Rattus norvegicus: one gene and its partners. The protein of the gene in region 1 interacts with the protein of each later gene in a pairwise test. Links are inferred from orthologs where the notes say so. Each region holds a gene or a part of one and is shown in the gene's direction. Other genes may lie near its edges.

The links. The genes of interacting proteins can lie anywhere in the genome.
Region 2: the proteins of Birc7 (region 1) and Phf1 interact in binary tests that used the Homo sapiens proteins (3 or more experiments, as listed by UniProt). The two-hybrid records come from large-scale screens. The link is inferred for Rattus norvegicus from reciprocal best matches to the Homo sapiens genes BIRC7 and PHF1.
Region 3: the proteins of Birc7 (region 1) and Ddx6 interact in a two-hybrid assay, tested with the Homo sapiens proteins (3 studies listed by BioGRID and IntAct). The two-hybrid records come from large-scale screens. The link is inferred for Rattus norvegicus from reciprocal best matches to the Homo sapiens genes BIRC7 and DDX6.
Region 4: the proteins of Birc7 (region 1) and Casp9 interact in binary tests that used the Homo sapiens proteins (3 or more experiments, as listed by UniProt). The two-hybrid records come from large-scale screens. The link is inferred for Rattus norvegicus from reciprocal best matches to the Homo sapiens genes BIRC7 and CASP9.

The regions. Positions count from the first base shown.
Region 1 is NC_086021.1:188,424,132-188,428,192, forward strand, and holds the start of Birc7 (baculoviral IAP repeat-containing protein 7), read left to right. Parts: upstream 1-1,260; 5' UTR 1,261-1,384; coding exon 1,385-1,751; intron 1,752-3,074; coding exon 3,075-3,174; intron 3,175-3,553; coding exon 3,554-3,632; intron 3,633-3,715; coding exon 3,716-3,761; intron 3,762-4,061.
Region 2 is NC_086038.1:5,018,538-5,022,779, forward strand, and holds the start of Phf1 (PHD finger protein 1), read left to right. Parts: upstream 1-1,437; 5' UTR 1,438-1,639; intron 1,640-2,300; coding exon of another isoform or gene 2,301-2,321; coding exon 2,322-2,480; intron 2,481-2,562; coding exon 2,563-2,644; intron 2,645-2,740; coding exon 2,741-2,836; intron 2,837-3,188; coding exon 3,189-3,289; intron 3,290-3,380; coding exon 3,381-3,529; intron 3,530-3,670; coding exon 3,671-3,766; intron 3,767-3,894; coding exon 3,895-3,963; intron 3,964-4,050; coding exon 4,051-4,174; intron 4,175-4,242. Other genes in the region: kinesin-like protein KIFC1, read left to right, coding at 229-273. UniProt on the Homo sapiens protein: Polycomb group (PcG) that specifically binds histone H3 trimethylated at 'Lys-36' (H3K36me3) and recruits the PRC2 complex. Involved in DNA damage response and is recruited at double-strand breaks (DSBs).
Region 3 is NC_086026.1:53,827,367-53,831,553, forward strand, and holds the start of Ddx6 (probable ATP-dependent RNA helicase DDX6), read left to right. Parts: upstream 1-1,382; 5' UTR 1,383-1,470; intron 1,471-1,509; exon of another isoform or gene 1,510-1,648; intron 1,649-1,711; exon of another isoform or gene 1,712-1,851; intron 1,852-3,959; 5' UTR 3,960-4,187.
Region 4 is NC_086023.1:159,390,624-159,394,878, forward strand, and holds the start of Casp9 (caspase-9), read left to right. Parts: upstream 1-1,450; 5' UTR 1,451-1,490; coding exon 1,491-1,622; intron 1,623-3,714; coding exon 3,715-4,114; intron 4,115-4,255. UniProt on the Homo sapiens protein: Involved in the activation cascade of caspases responsible for apoptosis execution. Binding of caspase-9 to Apaf-1 leads to activation of the protease which then cleaves and activates effector caspases caspase-3 (CASP3) or caspase-7 (CASP7).

The DNA.
Region 1 (4,061 bases):
ACCACCATCCTACCTCACAATGTCTCACAAGACCCAACCTCTAACTAAAGGACTATTGACAGTTGGAAGCTTCTGGAAGAGGGGGGGGTCAGTTTTCTTTAAGGTTGTGGCCCCTGGTAGGTTGACCATGCTCCCGTGGATGTCCCCACACCCATATGTGTACGGACACCACAAATTGGACTCAATTAATTATACATTTAAAAAGAAAAAAGAAAAAGGGCATGAAGTTGGAGTGGAATTCTTTTTTTTTTTTGAGACAGGATATCCCCTTTGTATTCTGGAACTAGCTCTGGAAAAGCTGGACTCAAACTCAGAGCTCTGCCTGCCTCTGCCTTGGAGTGCTGGGAAGCACCGTGCCCAGTTTTGCCTGAAATTTTCAAGGAATTAATAAAGATATTATTAAAAACTCACAATACTAAAAGCTTCACAATCCATGCAGAGCTACTTAAGGGTAAAGGTTTGTGCGAAAACCTGGTTACAGTGCAAGCCAGGGCAGAGCTGGCCCCTGGGTCTTCTCTGCCTCTTCCAGGGGTCCCAACCTGTAGCTATGGCGTCTCTGGGGTAATGACCCTCCTCTCTGTTCCCTGTTTTTCTGCATCAATGGAATCCCTCACCTGGGGCTGGTTAGTGAAGAGAAGATCTGGTTCTGGGGCAGAGCTCATTTAGGGATGCGATTTTCCATGTCACAATGCAAGTGGAAATGTCTGGCCCAGAACAAACACAATCCAAACCTTGAGCTCCTCCAGACAAAGGCCAGGGCATACCCCACCTTTGATTTGACTGTAGACTGTCTAGACAGAAAAAGAGCAACCTGTGACCAGATAGGTGGACTAACTCTGACTCAGGGCTGAGCCAAGCAGGAATCTCCTAAGTGCTAGGGACAAGATAAGCCAGTGATGAGGTCATCCCTGAACATCAGCACAGGCTTGGTATGGAAGGAATGGTGGGGTTGCATTCTGTTCTGGACAACCTAGCTTCCTACCTTGCAGGTCCTCGTCTGGGTCTCTCTCTACTCACTCTGGACCCTGAGTGGCTAGAGTCCCTCTCCTCCACTTTGTCCGTGTTCACGACCTGCTTCCTGAGGCTTAGGGGATTCCATTGGAGAGGTCCCAAGCTTGGTCCCTCCCCCTATTGAGAGATGCTTTTTGCCTGGTAGAGTACTGCCTTTGTTATGTGCCTGCCAGGAGGCCCCATGACATGCTGCAGACAGCACGTGGCTGCCACTCTGGCCTCTTTCAGAAACTGGCACATCCCTGAACACCACTGCATCTGAACATCTAGCAGCATATGCTTACAGTTAGAAGCAGGAGCCTCCACAGCTTCTAGAAAGGACTAGAGGCAGGAGCTGGAGAGGTAAGTCACCAGGCACATTCCAGGGCTGGTGATGTTCTCGCCTGCAGGCTTGCTCCGAGCTGCTGTCCTACCCATGGGGCCTGAGAGTAAGGACAGGGACTCCTTCTGTGGCCCAGAACTAAGCCACAGGGAAGAGAGCAATGGCCCCACACAGGAACAGCATAGACCCCACTGTCCTTGTAACCGTGTCCTGGGCCAGGACTGCCTAGATGGGCAGATCTTAGGCCAGTTGCGCCCCCTGTCAGAAGAGGAAGAATCCTCTGGGGCTACCTTCGTCGGGGAGCCTGCCTTCCCAGAGATGGACTCAGAGGATCTCCGCTTAGCCTCCTTCTACGACTGGCCATCTACTGCAGGGATTCAGCCTGAGCCATTGGCTGCTGCCGGCTTCTTCCACACAGGTAAATGTTGGGGTCTTTTTTGCTGTGGTCTGGATGCTACTTAGCGCTCTTCCAGGCAAATGGTTTTGTCCATTCCTGCCCTGAGGGAGGACTAATGAAAGGTACTTCTGTCACCCTTGCCCGGCCAGGGCTTGGGGTCTACCCCACTCAAGGCTGCTATGAAATCCTGGGCTTATGCTGGCCTTGTTCTGAGGGCCCTTACGCATGCGGAGTCTACTGACCTGGTGGTTTTGCCTGGCTTACATGGTTCTGAGGATTTCCCACACTCCTCGGGGATCCCCACAGTCATCAGTGCCTTTCAGGCTTGGTTATAGAGCTGATTAATCCCTTTCATCCCTTGACCCAAAGCCACAGAGCCAGAATCTATTCTACGGGGCAGGGGTCAGCTTGTACCATCCAGTGCTCATCTTGTAGGTAATCCTCCAGGCTTCCCAAGTACCAGGCTAGTGCAGGGACCAACTCCAGATAAATCCTTTGAGTACCTCTTCTAGTTATAAATTTAGAGCATTCCTTGAGCTTGGTCTGCCCTTCACTCACAGTAGGATTTCAGGCTGTCTTCCTGGCTGAGGGGAAGTGAGTCAGTGAGACCCGCTGAGGGGCTTTGTAGGTATGAGCATAACCAGAGAAATTGTTCACCTGTGGCAGCAGCAGGGGAGGAAACAGCTGTTTTCCTTGCACTGGCCAGTCAAGAGTCCATACTGATTTAGGAGAATCAGACACTGGTTAGGAAAGGTCAATGTCTGGAATGGTGGGAGCCCCCTTTAAAACGGAGCATCCTTGGGGCCAAAAGATGTCAGGGGGATTTTGTGGACCATGGATGCCTTCTGTGGGACATTGCCTGTAAGCAATCCTATTTGGAACTTCTGCTCAAGGTCACGAAGGGCACATTTTCCTATGACTGGGGGAGGGGCACAGAGCAGAGATGATTGAGGCCTGAGCCACTAAAACCAAAATCTGTCTGCAAACTGGTAGGGAAGGGGTCACCTCCTTATCCTGTAACTAGGAGTCCTCCTCGGAGGCCCTGGCACTCCCAGGCTGCAGATGCTCCAAGCCTTTGGCTCAACCCTACCCACACGCTCTGAGAACAACACAAATGCTAGCTCGACCTTTCCGGAATATTCTCAGGCCATCCCGACACATGCCCCAGGGCCATTGTCTTTATTCACCTTTGAGACAAGAGAGGTGTCCATGTGCCTTGTTCCCTTCTTGTTAACCTACTGGCAGATTCCAGTCCCGCATGCCCAAGCTCTGATGGTCATGGAGGGACACCCTGGAACTGTCAGCTAGGTGGGGCTACCAGCTGTGTGTCTCTGCCATACCCAGGCCAGCAGGACAAGGTGAGATGTTTCTTCTGCTACGGGGGTCTACAGAGCTGGGAACGTGGAGACGACCCCTGGACAGAGCATGCACGATGGTTCCCCAGGTAAGGGCCCTGTGGGCTGCTGTGGGTCTGGCTAATGAGAAGGGCCCCCAAAGAACTCTGTACAGCCTCCCCATCTCCCATGGTCCTGAGATATCTCTTCACACCTCACTCTTCACAGAGCCCTCTCTAGGTGGGCTGCTAGGGTAGGTACTTCCCTGTCGCTATCCTTTTCTAGGTGCTCACCTAGGTATTCAGAGCCCATCTCCAGGATAGCCTTGCTAGCAGGTGCCATGGGGGATACAGCCCTGACTACCTGTCACAGGAAGTAGTGGGTTCCATGGGAACAGAAGGCATGACCTAATCCCAAAGGCTTTCAGGGCTCGAATGTGACAGTGGGGCTCTGAGAGACCAGTCCTGCCTTCTGAGCTCTCTTCTCCAGGTGCCAGTTCCTGCTACGGTCAAAAGGAAGGGACTTTGTGGAAAGAATCCAGGCCTACACCCCCTTGCTTGGATCCTGGGTAAGTCCATCTGTCCTCAGGGCTCAGGCGGGTTGGCAGTCTCTCTGCTTTGTTTACTTAAGGCATTGGTGGCTCCCTAACAGGAACAACGGGAAGAACAGGAAGATACGGTCTCTGCCACTCCCTCAGGTGAGAGCCTGATGCACAGCCCTTGCAGTTTAGCCGGTGTTTGCAGCCTGCACGTGTGTAAGACGGGCGAGTGTCTCCACCTGCCAGTCAGCAGGGAGGGTGGGGACTGTGTCCTCGTGCTGTGTCCAAGGCACTGCATCCCCTTGATCCTAGTGAGAAGCCTGCTAAATACACTAGGGCAAACCTGGGGGCATGGCTGTATGCTAGGCTGGTTCTCATGGGCACGAGCCATAGCTTCTTAAAGCCAAGTGGGCTGCAACAAGAAGCCAGTTGAACAGAGATACAGAGGACATGGCTTTC
Region 2 (4,242 bases), on another chromosome or scaffold:
CATGCTGACATATGACCAGCGGGCATATCTCTATCATCTTTTCAGACTGCTGGTCTCCTCCAGGTTAGTGGACACAGCACCACTGTCCCTCCAGGGGGTCAGGCCGAGCCTGCTGCCGTAGTCCTTATTTCAGGGAGTCAGACAGTGGGCCCAGCATTGGGGCAGAATGGGAGACTTCGGATTGTAAGCAGTGATCTCGTGTAACCCTATTCACTGGTCCATCCACAGGTGAACCAGTGCGTGATCGGCACTGCTCAGGCTAATAAGAAATGAAGATGGATGCAGAGCCTGGCTCCTGTGCAAGCGGGTGTGCGTGTCTGTTTTGTGTATATGTATAACACGGGGGTGGGGCGGGGCTGAGACATGATTTTATTGGGTGGACAACATTATGTACCCAACTATCAAATAAAGAAAATTTGGTGTAGGTTAATTTTTTTCTTAATCTTAGATTTAAAAAATTGTGTGTGTACAGTTGTTTAGCCTGAGTATATACATGTGCACCATGTGCATGTCTCCTGCTCCTTGAAGTTCAGAAGAGGCTTCGGGGCCTCTGGAACTGGAATTATGGACAGTTTTGACCATCGATGTGGGGTCTGATCAGTAAGTGCTCTTAACCACTGAGCCATCTTTCCAGACCCTGTTACAGCTCTTAATGGTTTTATTAATATTGGTAGCTGCCAGATGAAGTATTGTGAGTAAATACCGTAAGATGTAGAAATGTCCATTTTGACCTGTTTTGCAGAGTGAGGGAGGCTATGGGCTTTCACTTGGAGGGACACACTAACTTTGCTGCCTGCCCTGGTGCCTCTCCTCTGTCCTTCAGCTCAGGGAGTTGTGCCCATAGTGCCCACACCGGGCCCTCTGTGACCAACTAAATCTCTCACTTCCCCTGCCCACCGGTTCGAACCATGGTTCGGTCCGTGCCGCCTAGTGCCCATTGGCTGGTGTGGGCGCGTCACCGCCCCAGTACTAGTTCCAAGTAGCCTCTGGTCCTTTCCCTCCTAGAGGAGCACGGCCATGCCAGTGCTCGCCGCGGGAGGAGTGGCTGTGTGCCCAGGTGCGGCGCGCGGGCGGGGCTACGCGTGCGCAGAAGGGCGGGGCAACAGAAAGCGTGAATGAGGAGGGCGGTTCCGCGTGCGGAGGCGGAGCTTGGAGTGGCCACGGGGGCGGGGCAACTAACGGATGTGGCATGGGGCGGGGCCCGGCCCTGACCTGCAGGCTAGCTGCCAAGAAGGTTATTTCCTGCTGCCCTCAGAGCAAGCCTCCTATCCGAAAAGGGGGCTACAGGGATTTCCTCGTCCTCCCCGACCGGCCGCGCCTCCAATAGCGCAGCGCCCTCCGGGCCTACTGGAGGTGAGGGAGGTGCTGCCTACCCGCCCCTCCGTCGTCTCCTCCCACTGGTGCTCCCCACCCTCCACTCTCCTCCCTCCTTCTGTCGACTCCTCCTGCCGCTGCTGCTGCTTTGGCTGCTGCGTCATACGCCCCAGAGCGGCCAGGACGGAGGGGCTGGGCCCGGGGACCCCCCTGGCCTCCACCTGCACGCCCCTCGGCGCTCACACTCAGTCTTCCCGCACCGGGGACTCACCCAGATCTCTTGGGTCTGCCCCTACCTGGCTTCCAGCTGCCCCAGCTGTCACCGGTAAGGAGAAGGCGGGAGGCCCGGAGGGGGGGGGGCAGGGAACCGGGGGTCGGTGCGCAGGAAGGGCTGGGGGAGCCTCCTGGTCCCAGTTTGGGATCTGTGCTGGGGCGACTCAAGTCCCTCCGTGGACTGGCAGTGTAGGGGAGTAGAGACTTGGACAGGGACACGCCCCCCTCCTGGGGCACTCAGGGAAGTTATCTAATCCCAGGTCAAGGAGCCCCAAATTTGAGGGTGACCTAACATAACCTGGCACCAGGATGGTGGCTCTAAATAAGACACACAAGCCTGGGGAGGCAGCTGTTTCTACTCCTTTAACGTCTTTAGAAAAGCTCCCAAAACATCTCCGGGCAACAGATTGCCCCAGTTAGGCTACCTCTACACAGCTGGGAAAGGTGAAACTAAGTGGTAACCTTGATTCTGCAAACATCTTTTCCACCGGAGGTCCGGAGGAGCTGGGATACTACGGAGCTAGGCAGGGGAGATGGAAAGGAGTGGAGTAGAGAAGCTGACCAGAACGACCTGCCTCCTCGGGGTTCTAAAGGATTACGAGACTGGGGTTGGAGATTCCTGGTCAGGGTCAGGGTTTCTTCATCCGTAACAGAAAACAACCCACACAGGGACACTTTCTCAGCGCTCATAAACTCTAACCATCCTGTTTCAGAATAGCCCACCCCAGGATGCAATGGCGCAGCTCCCCCGGCTGAGCCGTTTGGGTGCTCCCTCTCTTTGGGACCCAGCCTCCCCTGCTCCCACCTCAGGCCCCAGACCTCGGCTTTGGGAAGGTCAAGATGTGCTGGCAAGATGGACTGATGGGCTCCTGTACTTGGGCACCATCAAAAAGGTGAGGCCCACCTCTGATCCCCTGCCTTCCCAGGCCGGTCTGATTCCTGCCCCCACTTTACGGTCTTGGTCATCCACTCCAGGTGGACAGTGCGCGGGAGGTGTGTCTGGTCCAGTTTGAGGATGATTCCCAGTTTCTAGTTCTATGGAAGGACATCAGCCCAGGTGAGACCCTTCAAAGCACAGCTTCCCTCTGCAGCAGCTGGAGCCGATGGGGACGCTGGGTTGAAGTGGGCCTCCTGACACTTTGTTCTCTCACAGCCGCCCTTCCTGGTGAGGAGCTCCTCTGTTGTGTGTGTCGCTCTGAGACCGTGGTCCCTGGGAACCGGCTGGTCAGCTGTGAGAAGTGTCGCCATGGTGAGAGGGCGGGATGTTTAGGGGGTGCAGTTTGCCCTGGGTCTTCTGGGTTACCACTAGAAGGGTTACCCTCCCTCATAGCGTGAGTCACGCACGTCTCCTGCCTGGGCCAGTCCTCACCCTGTCACCTCATCTCAGTACAGGGAGAGGGAGCGTGGATGCAGGTGACAAGGCTGAGGGCCTACCGTAGCTCGCTCACATTTCTTAACCAAGCTTCCTTGGGCAAGGTCCTCAACTGCTAGAAGCCCGTTGACTCAACTTGAGTGTCAGGATGAGACCTGCCAGCGGGACCGGTCTTAAATGCCCTGGTCAGGACTTAAAGGCCACTCTGTGGCCTTCTCTCCTCATTCAGCCTATCACCAGGACTGTCACGTCCCCAGGGCCCCAGCCCCTGGAGAAGGAGAGGGCAGCTCCTGGGTCTGCCGCCAGTGTGTCTTTGCGATTGCCACAAAGGTAAAGGCACCTCTCTGCCTGCTTGTGTGGGAGCCTCCCGTGACCTCTCCTCCTTCCCTGCCCTCTGAGGCTTCCCTCTGTTCCTCTGCAGAGGGGAGGTGCCCTGAAGAAGGGTCCCTATGCCCGGGCCATGCTGGGCATGAAACTCTCCCTGCCGTACGGTCTGAAAGGGCTGGACTGGGACGCCGGACATCTGAGCAACAGGCAGCAGAGCTACTGTTACTGCGGGGGCCCGGGGGAGTAAGTGAAGGAAGAGCAGGGCCAGCCACGGCATGGGTGTTTTGTGGTGGTAGAGCCCAGGACAGAGGGGAGCGAAGAGGGTGAGGGGGGGCCCTGTGGTTTGAAGAAGGCTGAGGGCCATGGCGCTGTCTTCCCCTTGAGGTGGAACCTGAAAATGCTGCAATGCCGGAGCTGCCTCCAGTGGTTCCATGAGGCCTGCACCCAGTGTCTGAGCAAGCCCCTCCTTTACGGAGACAGGTGAGATCCAGGGAGACTGCACAGGAGCCTGGGGTGCTCTCTCTCCCGCGCTCCCGACTGACTAGTTAGCCCTCTGCAGCTCGTACTGGAGGGTTGAGTGAGGTCCCTCTGTCCTGACCCATATACAGATTCTATGAATTTGAATGCTGTGTGTGCCGGGGCGGCCCTGAGAAAGTACGGAGGTTACAGCTTCGCTGGTGAGAAGGATGGTGCTCTCCGCCATTTTACTCTATGACTCCTGACTCCATAATGCTGCTGCTGTTGACAATCTCATGCTCCTCCAGGGTGGATGTGGCCCATCTTGTTCTCTACCATCTCAGCGTTTGCTGTAAGAAGAAATATTTCGATTTTGACCGAGAGATCCTCCCCTTCACCTCTGAGAATTGGGACAGTCTGCTCCTGGGGGAGGTAAGGGTTCTAAAGTTTGAGAACTGGGGTTTTTGGAACAAGGAATGCGTGCTCCCTGGGACCCATTT
Region 3 (4,187 bases), on another chromosome or scaffold:
CACACACACACACACACACACACACACACACACGAAAAGCGCAGCAGTTGGGGAGGGGTGCTTCAGGCTTACTCTGATTGGATGTTGCTGTCTAGAAAGCAGGAGAAGGGCTGGAAGCAGGGAGTCATTGGCTTAGAGAGCGTATTTGGCTTTCTCTGATTGGTCTCAAGTTGGAAGCAGCGGTAAAAAATATGGAAGCTGCTAGTCACTGACTACGAGTATTGACTGTTCAGGACCCCTTAACGAGTGATCTAGTATGGAGTCGTATTGTCACAAATGATTTGACCATTGTCAGTATTTCCAGCCCTCCAGCAGCGTAGGACGCAGGTTTTTCACTTCGGCCCAGCTCGATTTTTACTTAACACACAAGAAATGTTTGTTTTACTTGAAACAAGACTGCTTTCTAGGTTAAGGATAAGACCTCAGGATCTGAGAATCATAGAAACAAATGCACAGATAGCTGTCTGCAGTGAGGGTCAGGCAGCAGAATCTACTGGTTTCCCATTTTCACAGCGAGACCTCCCTCGTAGAGGCGACCCGCCCTTCTTTCTAGAAGAGTGCCACTGCCGGCAGGAGCAAAGGGTCACCTCGCCTGCACTCTGGGCTTGGTAGCCCACGACCTAGGGCGGGCTCCCGGTTCACGCTTTCCCCGCTGCCTCGCCGACAGCCTCGGCCCTTCAGGCCCAATTTTTCTGCACGTCCCTGGGTGGAGGTGCGCCCTGGCCTCGCAGCAGCCTCCCGGCCACCCCAGGTCAGCTTCCGGACCGGCGCAGGCTGCCCTCCGAGCGCGTCCCCGGTCAGCAGTCAGCAGGCGTCCCCTCCGCCCGGCCCGGCCAGCCCAGCTCAGGAGGGACGAAGGCAAGGACGACACTCCCCGGCCACCATTCATTTCCCCACTGGTCTCCTCAGCTCTGCAGGCAAGCTCTCCAGTCCGTCCGTCCGTCCGTCTGTCCGTCCGTCCGTCCTTCCCGAAAACAGCCCCGTGTTTCCCTGAGCTCGGTCCCATCAGTAACGAGTCTCTCCCGACCCTCGCCCGCCGCGCCCAGGAAGCCGTGACGCCGCGGCGGCTGCAGCGGCGGAGCTCTCGCCATCTTGTGTGGAGGAGGAGCCGCAGCCGCCGCCATGCGGAGAGGCTGGGAAGGAGGGAGGGAGACGACAGCGGCGGGCGAGGGAGGGGGCAGAGCAGCAGAGTCAGCTCCGCTCAGCGGCGACATCCGGGGCGCCGGCACAGCGGGCTACGGCCGAGGTAGCGCGGGACGGCAGCGGCGGCGGCGGCGCGGGCGGCGAGCGGCGCGGCGGGGGCGGGGCGGCGGGCGTAGCGGCGAGGGGCCGGGTGGGGGCGGGCGGAGGTTTCCGAGGAGGAAGGAGCCGCCGCCATTTTGGGAGCTTCGAGTCAACAATAAAGGACCGAGGGTGCGGAGCGGGAGTGGCCTGGGTGGTAGGACTCGGGCCCGAGCCGCGGGGCGTGGGGTGAGGCGGTGTGGTCGGGGTCGGTAGGGCCCTGAGGGTCGCGGGGAGCCCCCTCGGGCGGGAGTCAGGGCGCGCTTGGGGCGGAAGCCCGAGGCCCAGGCCTGGCCCGGGAGGACGGGCGGGTGGCCGCTGAGAGGAGCAGCGGCGGCGGCGGAGAGGAGTGGAACCGAGGAATGTGGTGTGTGCCCGGTCTGGAGGAGGAGCGGTGGAGTGCTCTGGGCGAGCGGTGTGGTAGACGGGAGCGGGGACGGAGCGGCGGCCGGGACTCCGGAGTGAGGTTGGGAGTGCGAGGCAGCCCTGTTGGGGGCGGCAGGGCTGTGCTGTCCGGAGACTGGGCTAGGAGAGGACCCGCAGCTGCTCGGTTGCAAGTAGGCCTTGCAGGTTGGTGGGAACATAGGGTTTGGGGAGACTCAGCGGCGTAAGAGGAAAGGGGAGGCGGTCCAGTTTTTGGGGTTCTCTTCCGGGCCTTCTGAGGGGAGTCCCTATTGTTTCCCACTCGCAGAGCTGGTTCCGGCTCTTGTGGCGCAGATAGATTGCAGGGCAGAAAAAAACCCTTTTGCGTTTTGATCTGAAGGAGCTGGATTTGTAGAGTGTAGTTGGGGGAGGGGGAGAGGAATTATTGCCCTACGGTTACTGGACTCCGAGTCTTAGCTTGGTTTTTCCTTTTCCATAGCCCCCCTTTTCCTTCAGAAAAACCCCAATCACTCCAACTTCCTGCTGAGGCTTAGAGAAATCGCGCTGTATTTGCAAACAAAAGCCCTTGTTGGAGCTTATGGTACTGTTTTAGGTGTGAAACTGTCAATTGCTAACCACGGTCTGGGCCGTGCTGTAATTAACTCTGCCAGGGGCTCCTCCCAGCTAAGTCTACGTTCCTTCGTGGTTTTGTTTTAAGACTATAACTTGCAAATCTAAATTGGGAAGGGGTAGGACGAATATTTCCCCAACTGAGACATAAAACTGCAGTGCAGGTATCTGTTTCTGGAGAGAGCAGTTATCGAAGTCTCTGGGTTTAAGGCACTGGGTCTTACTGGGCTTGATTGACAGTACTGATGGTGTCCGTTAGTATTCAGAGGTTGCCCCCTTCAGCCTCTTAGTGCTGTACAAATAGGAAGCCTTCCTGTTTGACGTACCTCATACTGTTGATCATATGCTGTCAATACAGAAAATGCCTATTAACAGAACAAATAAACAGCTTTATGTGATAAGCAGCATTTGTGAGCAAGTTGATATATAACGAGATATCCTTTGACTTGAAAATTTTGGGTTTGGGACACTTGGTGTGTGGCAAAGATAACTAGCACTAATTAAGCTAGTGTTTTGGGAACCAGTGAAATAATGTAAGGGGGTTACAAAATAAAACTGAACGAGTTGGGCTTATACTGGTCCTTAGTAATTTTTTATTTGCCAAATTTTGAGAATTCCATTTGGGGAACAATTTAAAGTAGAGGAGGTTGACCAACTCTTTCTTAAAAATAACTTAATTAGACTCGCTATTCAGGGTGATTTGGGAGAATTTTATTAAAACTACAAGTTTAGCCCTCTGGTTTTTCTTTCCCCTTTTACTATAGGACACACACACACACACACACACACACACACACACACACACACGTACGTACGTACGTTTAAACTTTTTTATTTTTCCTTTTCTTTTTTTCGGAGCTGGGGATCGAACCCAGGGCCTTGGGCTTGCTACGCAAGCCCTCTACCACTGAGCTAAATCCCCAACCCCTAAACTTTATTTTAAATTAGGACATACTTTTTGAAAAGTGTTATAGTAAAAGGCAACACTAACAGCTTTCATTCAACTTTTGGTATTGGGGCTTTCTTTTTTCTTTGCCCCCCCCCCTCCAGTTGAAGAGAATCTTAGAGTTTTTCAAGCAGAAGATTTTTGATATGTAGACTGCTCCATACAGATCTTTTGACTGCTTCAATTATTTTGGTCAGGACAAAATTCAATAAAAAAAAATTGATTTCTGTAATTGAAACTGGTAAGAAGACTTCGTATTTGAAAAGTCTTTTCATTTAAAGGTTTTTGTGTTGCTGTCAGAAATAGAAAGATGTTAGTGAATTGTCTTGTTCAAATCTAGATGTACATGAGGTAAATTGAGTGATATTTCAAGTTTTAATGTAATTAAATGTAATGACATTTAGAGGGGGCAGGACTTGGAGAGAATTCATTAGGAGATTGAAGAACAGATTGTTATTTGAGAATGAATTTGAATTTTATCAATAGTATCTTCCTGCCTTTTTTTCCCCCTAAGTTGCTTTGTTCTTGCAATTTTAAATGTTTGAGGTTGGATTTTTCGTAGGTTGGGTTTTTAAGGCAGTTCTTCGCTATGTCTTTCCTATGTCAAGTAGTGATCTGGTTTGAGTATGTCGATTAGTGGTTCTTGAGAAGATGACCATTGCAGAGGAGTTCTTTAAAAGGGAACAATTTCTCCCCCTGACTTTGTGGTCTGCTAATTTAATTTTTTTCTTTGTTTCAGATTGAAGTGAGTGAATTCAGATATAATTCAAGCTTGTTAGAGCGCTTTAAAAAAATACAAAGTTGATTCGTTGCTTGAGAGCAAGTTAACTACTGCTGCTTACCGGTGAGAGACTTACAGGTGCTTGCCTGAATTGCAATAAAGGACTCATATATTGAGCAAGACTTATTTATCTCTTCATTTTGGAGAGCCTCATAAACTGTTATTACAGTTTCTCTACTGACTTTG
Region 4 (4,255 bases), on another chromosome or scaffold:
AAATCGGGAAGCGAGTGTAATATCATCTTTTGACATATTCCATGGTGGATTCTTGGCTAAGGGTCTATCCCAGTTCGGGTTTGAATCTCAGATGCCTCTGTTGGGGGTCAAGCTGTGAGATCCCTAACACATGTCCACAGCTGTCAGCAAGGAATAACTATTATCGGGAATATGTCAGGGATAATAACATGGCTAGCTGGGACAACACCGTAAGTGGCTAGCACGATGCTCAATTATTTTTTAAAAATGATTTATTTACTTAATGTATATAGGAATCTTCATGCACACCAAAAGAGGGAATCACCTTCCATTATAGATGGCTGTGAGCCACCATGTGGTTGCTGGGATATGAATTCAGGACCTCTGGAAGAGCAGCCAGTGCTCTTAACCACTGAACCATCTCTCCAGCCTTGTTCAGTTACTTTTTAAGTCGTGGAAATGAGTGGTACAAAACTGAGAGAACAGAGGACTAGATTCCTGGCAGTTTCTATGTGGGAGGTGCTGAGGAGGGAAAGAGAAGAGAGCGAGATGGAAGTCTGTGGGCTTAGTTTGCTGAGGCAGGATAGCCTGAAAAAGCAGGAGGCGAGGTTTTACTAGCCGCAACGGAGGAGGGCGTTAGAAGAAAGCCACAGCCCGCAAAGGACTTGAAAGACGTCTAGACATGGTTTCTTCCTTTTCCTCTCGCGACCCTTTGAGCATCTGTAGAAATAGGGTCACCAGTGAACTTTGTTAGAACAATCGCTGCTAAGCGGAACCAGCAAATGGGCGGAAGGTAGCAAGGCAAACCTGGGGTTTGGAACCCTAGGGGCGCCCTGGGGGAGAGTGTGGGAGGAGAAGGCCGCATGGAAAGTCACGTGGGTCGCATGGGGGGCGGAGCAACGTTACGTTTGGCCGCTGTTAGAGGCGGGCGAGAGCTGGGCGAGGGAGGGGCGTGAGGAGAGAGCGCTGCAGGGAAAGAGGTGGGGTGAGGCCTGAGTGCCGGACTAGGAGAGAGTTGGAATAGCAAGATGGGGGCGGGTCCTGGAGGCGGGGACAAAGGCAAAAGCAGAGAAGGGGGCGGGCCACGGGGCGGAGCGAAGGAACTCCATAGGGCCGGAGTGCTGGTCTATGAGGCAAGGAAGAGCGAGTCTTATATGAGGCGTGTGACGGGGCGGGGCTTGCGTGCAGCGCCAGCAGGCGGAACGAAGCAAGGACATCTTGGGGCGTGGCGAAGGGGCGTGGCCTGAGAGCGCGGGGGGTGGGGGTGGGGGGAAGGGGGGACGTGGGGGGAGTGAGAGAGGTGGGAGGACTGGTGAAGCGGTGACGGGGCCTTCGGAGCTGAGGTGGCTGCGGAGGTGGAGCCGAGTGAGCTTGAGGGACCGGCCTTGGGGCGGTGACCACTGGTCGGAGCGTGATCCCTAGAGGAGCTATGTGGGGGCGGGGCGTGGGTGCCGGGGCGGGACCCGAGGCCCGGAAGCGGACGGAACCAGGGGTCCAGCAATCCGCTAGCCATGGAGGAGGCTGACCGGCAACTCCTGCGGCGATGCAGGGTACGCCTTGTGCGCGAACTGCAAGTCGCGGAGCTGTGGGACGCTCTGCTGAGTCGTGAGCTCTTCACGCGCGACATGATCGAGGATATTCAGGTGCTCCCCCGCTCCCTTGTGTCCGCCGCTTTTCCCACGGCGCCGGTAGGGACTGGGAGGTCGCAGAGAGGTTCACTGAAGCCACCGCTACGGAGCTCCCGCCCTTTTCTCCCGCTTTGCACGGTGTGCAACCCAGGCCCTGGGAAACCATGGTGTGGGAACTCCATTTTTAAAACCTTCCACAATCCAGCTCTTTTAATCCTTCAGAAGAACCCAAGCACCTCTTTTGTGGAGTGCTCGCTAATGCCACTGTAACCCACACCTTGTTAGTAGTTTAGCCTCTCTGTAGAAGGGTCCTAAACACCCACTTTAGGTTTATACTGGCTCATTGTACTTGTCACTTGCCGTCTTTGAGCCTCAGTTTCCTGGGCTGTGAAATGCAACGGTGTCATCCTGTTCTAGGATGAATGAGATAACCAAGGTGAAGCACTTCTGTGGGGCCACAGCCCCAGGACCCATGTCTTTTTTTTTAGCTGGGCTTTTATCCAAGTGCATGCTTTATAAAGGATTTCAGAAAAGACGGACATTGATACAGGTACCACCGAAGAATACAATCAAACATTTGATTTTTAAAAAAAATACATTTGAGCTTCTTTGCTCCAGTTGATGCCTCACTGCAAGTCTGAAAAGGGAATATTTCTTTTTGAGAGGATATGAGTGTCAGGCCCTGGGGAACTGTCTAGAAAGCTGTCTCCAGCATCTGGATTGGAACCTAGTCTGGTCTAGTGAAGGAAAATAGAAGAAAGTGGTGTAGAGTCATGGGGTTAACTACCAGATAATAACAAAAGTAGTCTCAGGAACACTTTCGGAGGGGCCCATGCTGGCCAAGGAAAGTGGTTTGAAGGGAAAGCCCTAGTCTTCCAGAAGGCATATTAAGGAGGATCAGAAGCCGAACTGTGCAGGGAGGCACCAGCGGCCTCTGTCGTATTTCCTTCTCCAGCTAAGTGTGGTCAGAGCAGTGTCCGACCTAGTGTTGGCAGTGGCAGGCTGTTTGAAAGGAATGGTTTGTTCCTCTGGAATCCCAGCCCTCAGGAGGTAGAGGCAGGAGGATCAGGTGTTGGAGGGGATCCTTGGCTACATACAGAGTTTGAGATCGAGTCTCTGGAAACCAAAACCAAGGGCTGGAGAGCTGCCTCAGTTGTTAAGAGCTTTGATTTCAGTTTTCAGCACCCACATGGTGGCTCACAACTATAACTGTAGTCCCTGGGATCTGACACACTCTTCTGGCCTCCTTGGGCACCAGGCACACACAGTTGGCACATATACATCTAGATACACACACATATACCTACCTACCTACCTACATACATACATACATAGTAAATGTTTAAAAGCAAAACCAAAGCAAGAAGCTAGACATACAGTTTATTTGGTACAGTGCATGTCTAGTATTCGTGAATCCCTGAGTCTAACCCCTAGCCCTATAAAACCAGGCCTGGTGACTCTGGAGTCAGGAGAGGCAGAAGTTCAAAGGTCATCCTCAGCTATGAAGGAACTTGAAGGCCAATCTTGGCTACTTGAGAACTTTTCCTTCCCCCACACAAATATGAAAGTCCCCCCCCCCCAACAGAAACTTCTTTTCCTCCAAAAACAGAGATGTTGGAGATCTTGAATTCTACATTTAATTCTCTTATTTTAATGTTAGGAACAAGTTTAGAAAGTTTGAAGTACCTCGTCCAAACTACTGACCACCATTTTGCTACTTTTAGTAGGGCTAATTAGCACTTAGCACAGAGCTGGACAAACACACAGTAGGTGTCATTGACAAGCAAAGACTGCAGAGGGACATGAACTCAGTACACTGCTAGATTAGTTTCTGTCTATCTACCACAGGCATATTAAGGGGGATCAAAAGCCAAACTGCGCGGGGAGGCACCAGCAGCCTCTGTCCTTCTCCAGCTAAGTGTGGTCAGAGCAGTGTCGGACCTAGTATTGGGAATGGCAGACTGTTTGAAAGGAGAGACTTGTTCCAGGGGTGGTGGTACATACCTGCAGTCCCGGCACTCACAAGGTAGAGGCTAGGTGAGAAGCGGGAGGTAGGGTGACTGTAGATGTCACTGGATAATGAGTGTCTGGTTTTCTATCCAAACAGCGGGCAGGCTCTGGGTCTCGGCGGGATCAGGCCAGGCAGCTGGTCATAGATCTTGAGACTCGAGGGAGGCAGGCCCTTCCTCGCTTCATCTCCTGCTTAGAGGACACAGGCCAAGGCTCTCTGGCTTCATTCTTGCAAAGCAGTGGGCAAGCAGCCAAGCAGGATCCAGAAGCTGTTACACCCCTAGACCACCTGGTGCCTGTGGTCCTGGGACCAATGGGACTCAAATCAAAGGAGCAGAAAGTAGTGAAGCTGGACCCATCTCAGCCTGCCTTGGGAAACCTCACCCCAGTGGTGCTGGGGCCGGAAGAGCTCTGGCCTACTCGGCTCAGGCCAGAGGTTCTCACACCAGAAACACCCAGGCCGGTGGACATTGGTTCTGGCAGAGCTCATGATGTCTGTGAGTATCAAGAGAATGTTTGGCAGGTGGGTGCATTGAGGTTACTGGGGTGTGACTCTGGGTACTGCCCCGGTTGAGATTCAGGATTTAAATGTAACGTTTGTCTTAATGAACGCTCACAGGAGAGACGTGGACTCTTCC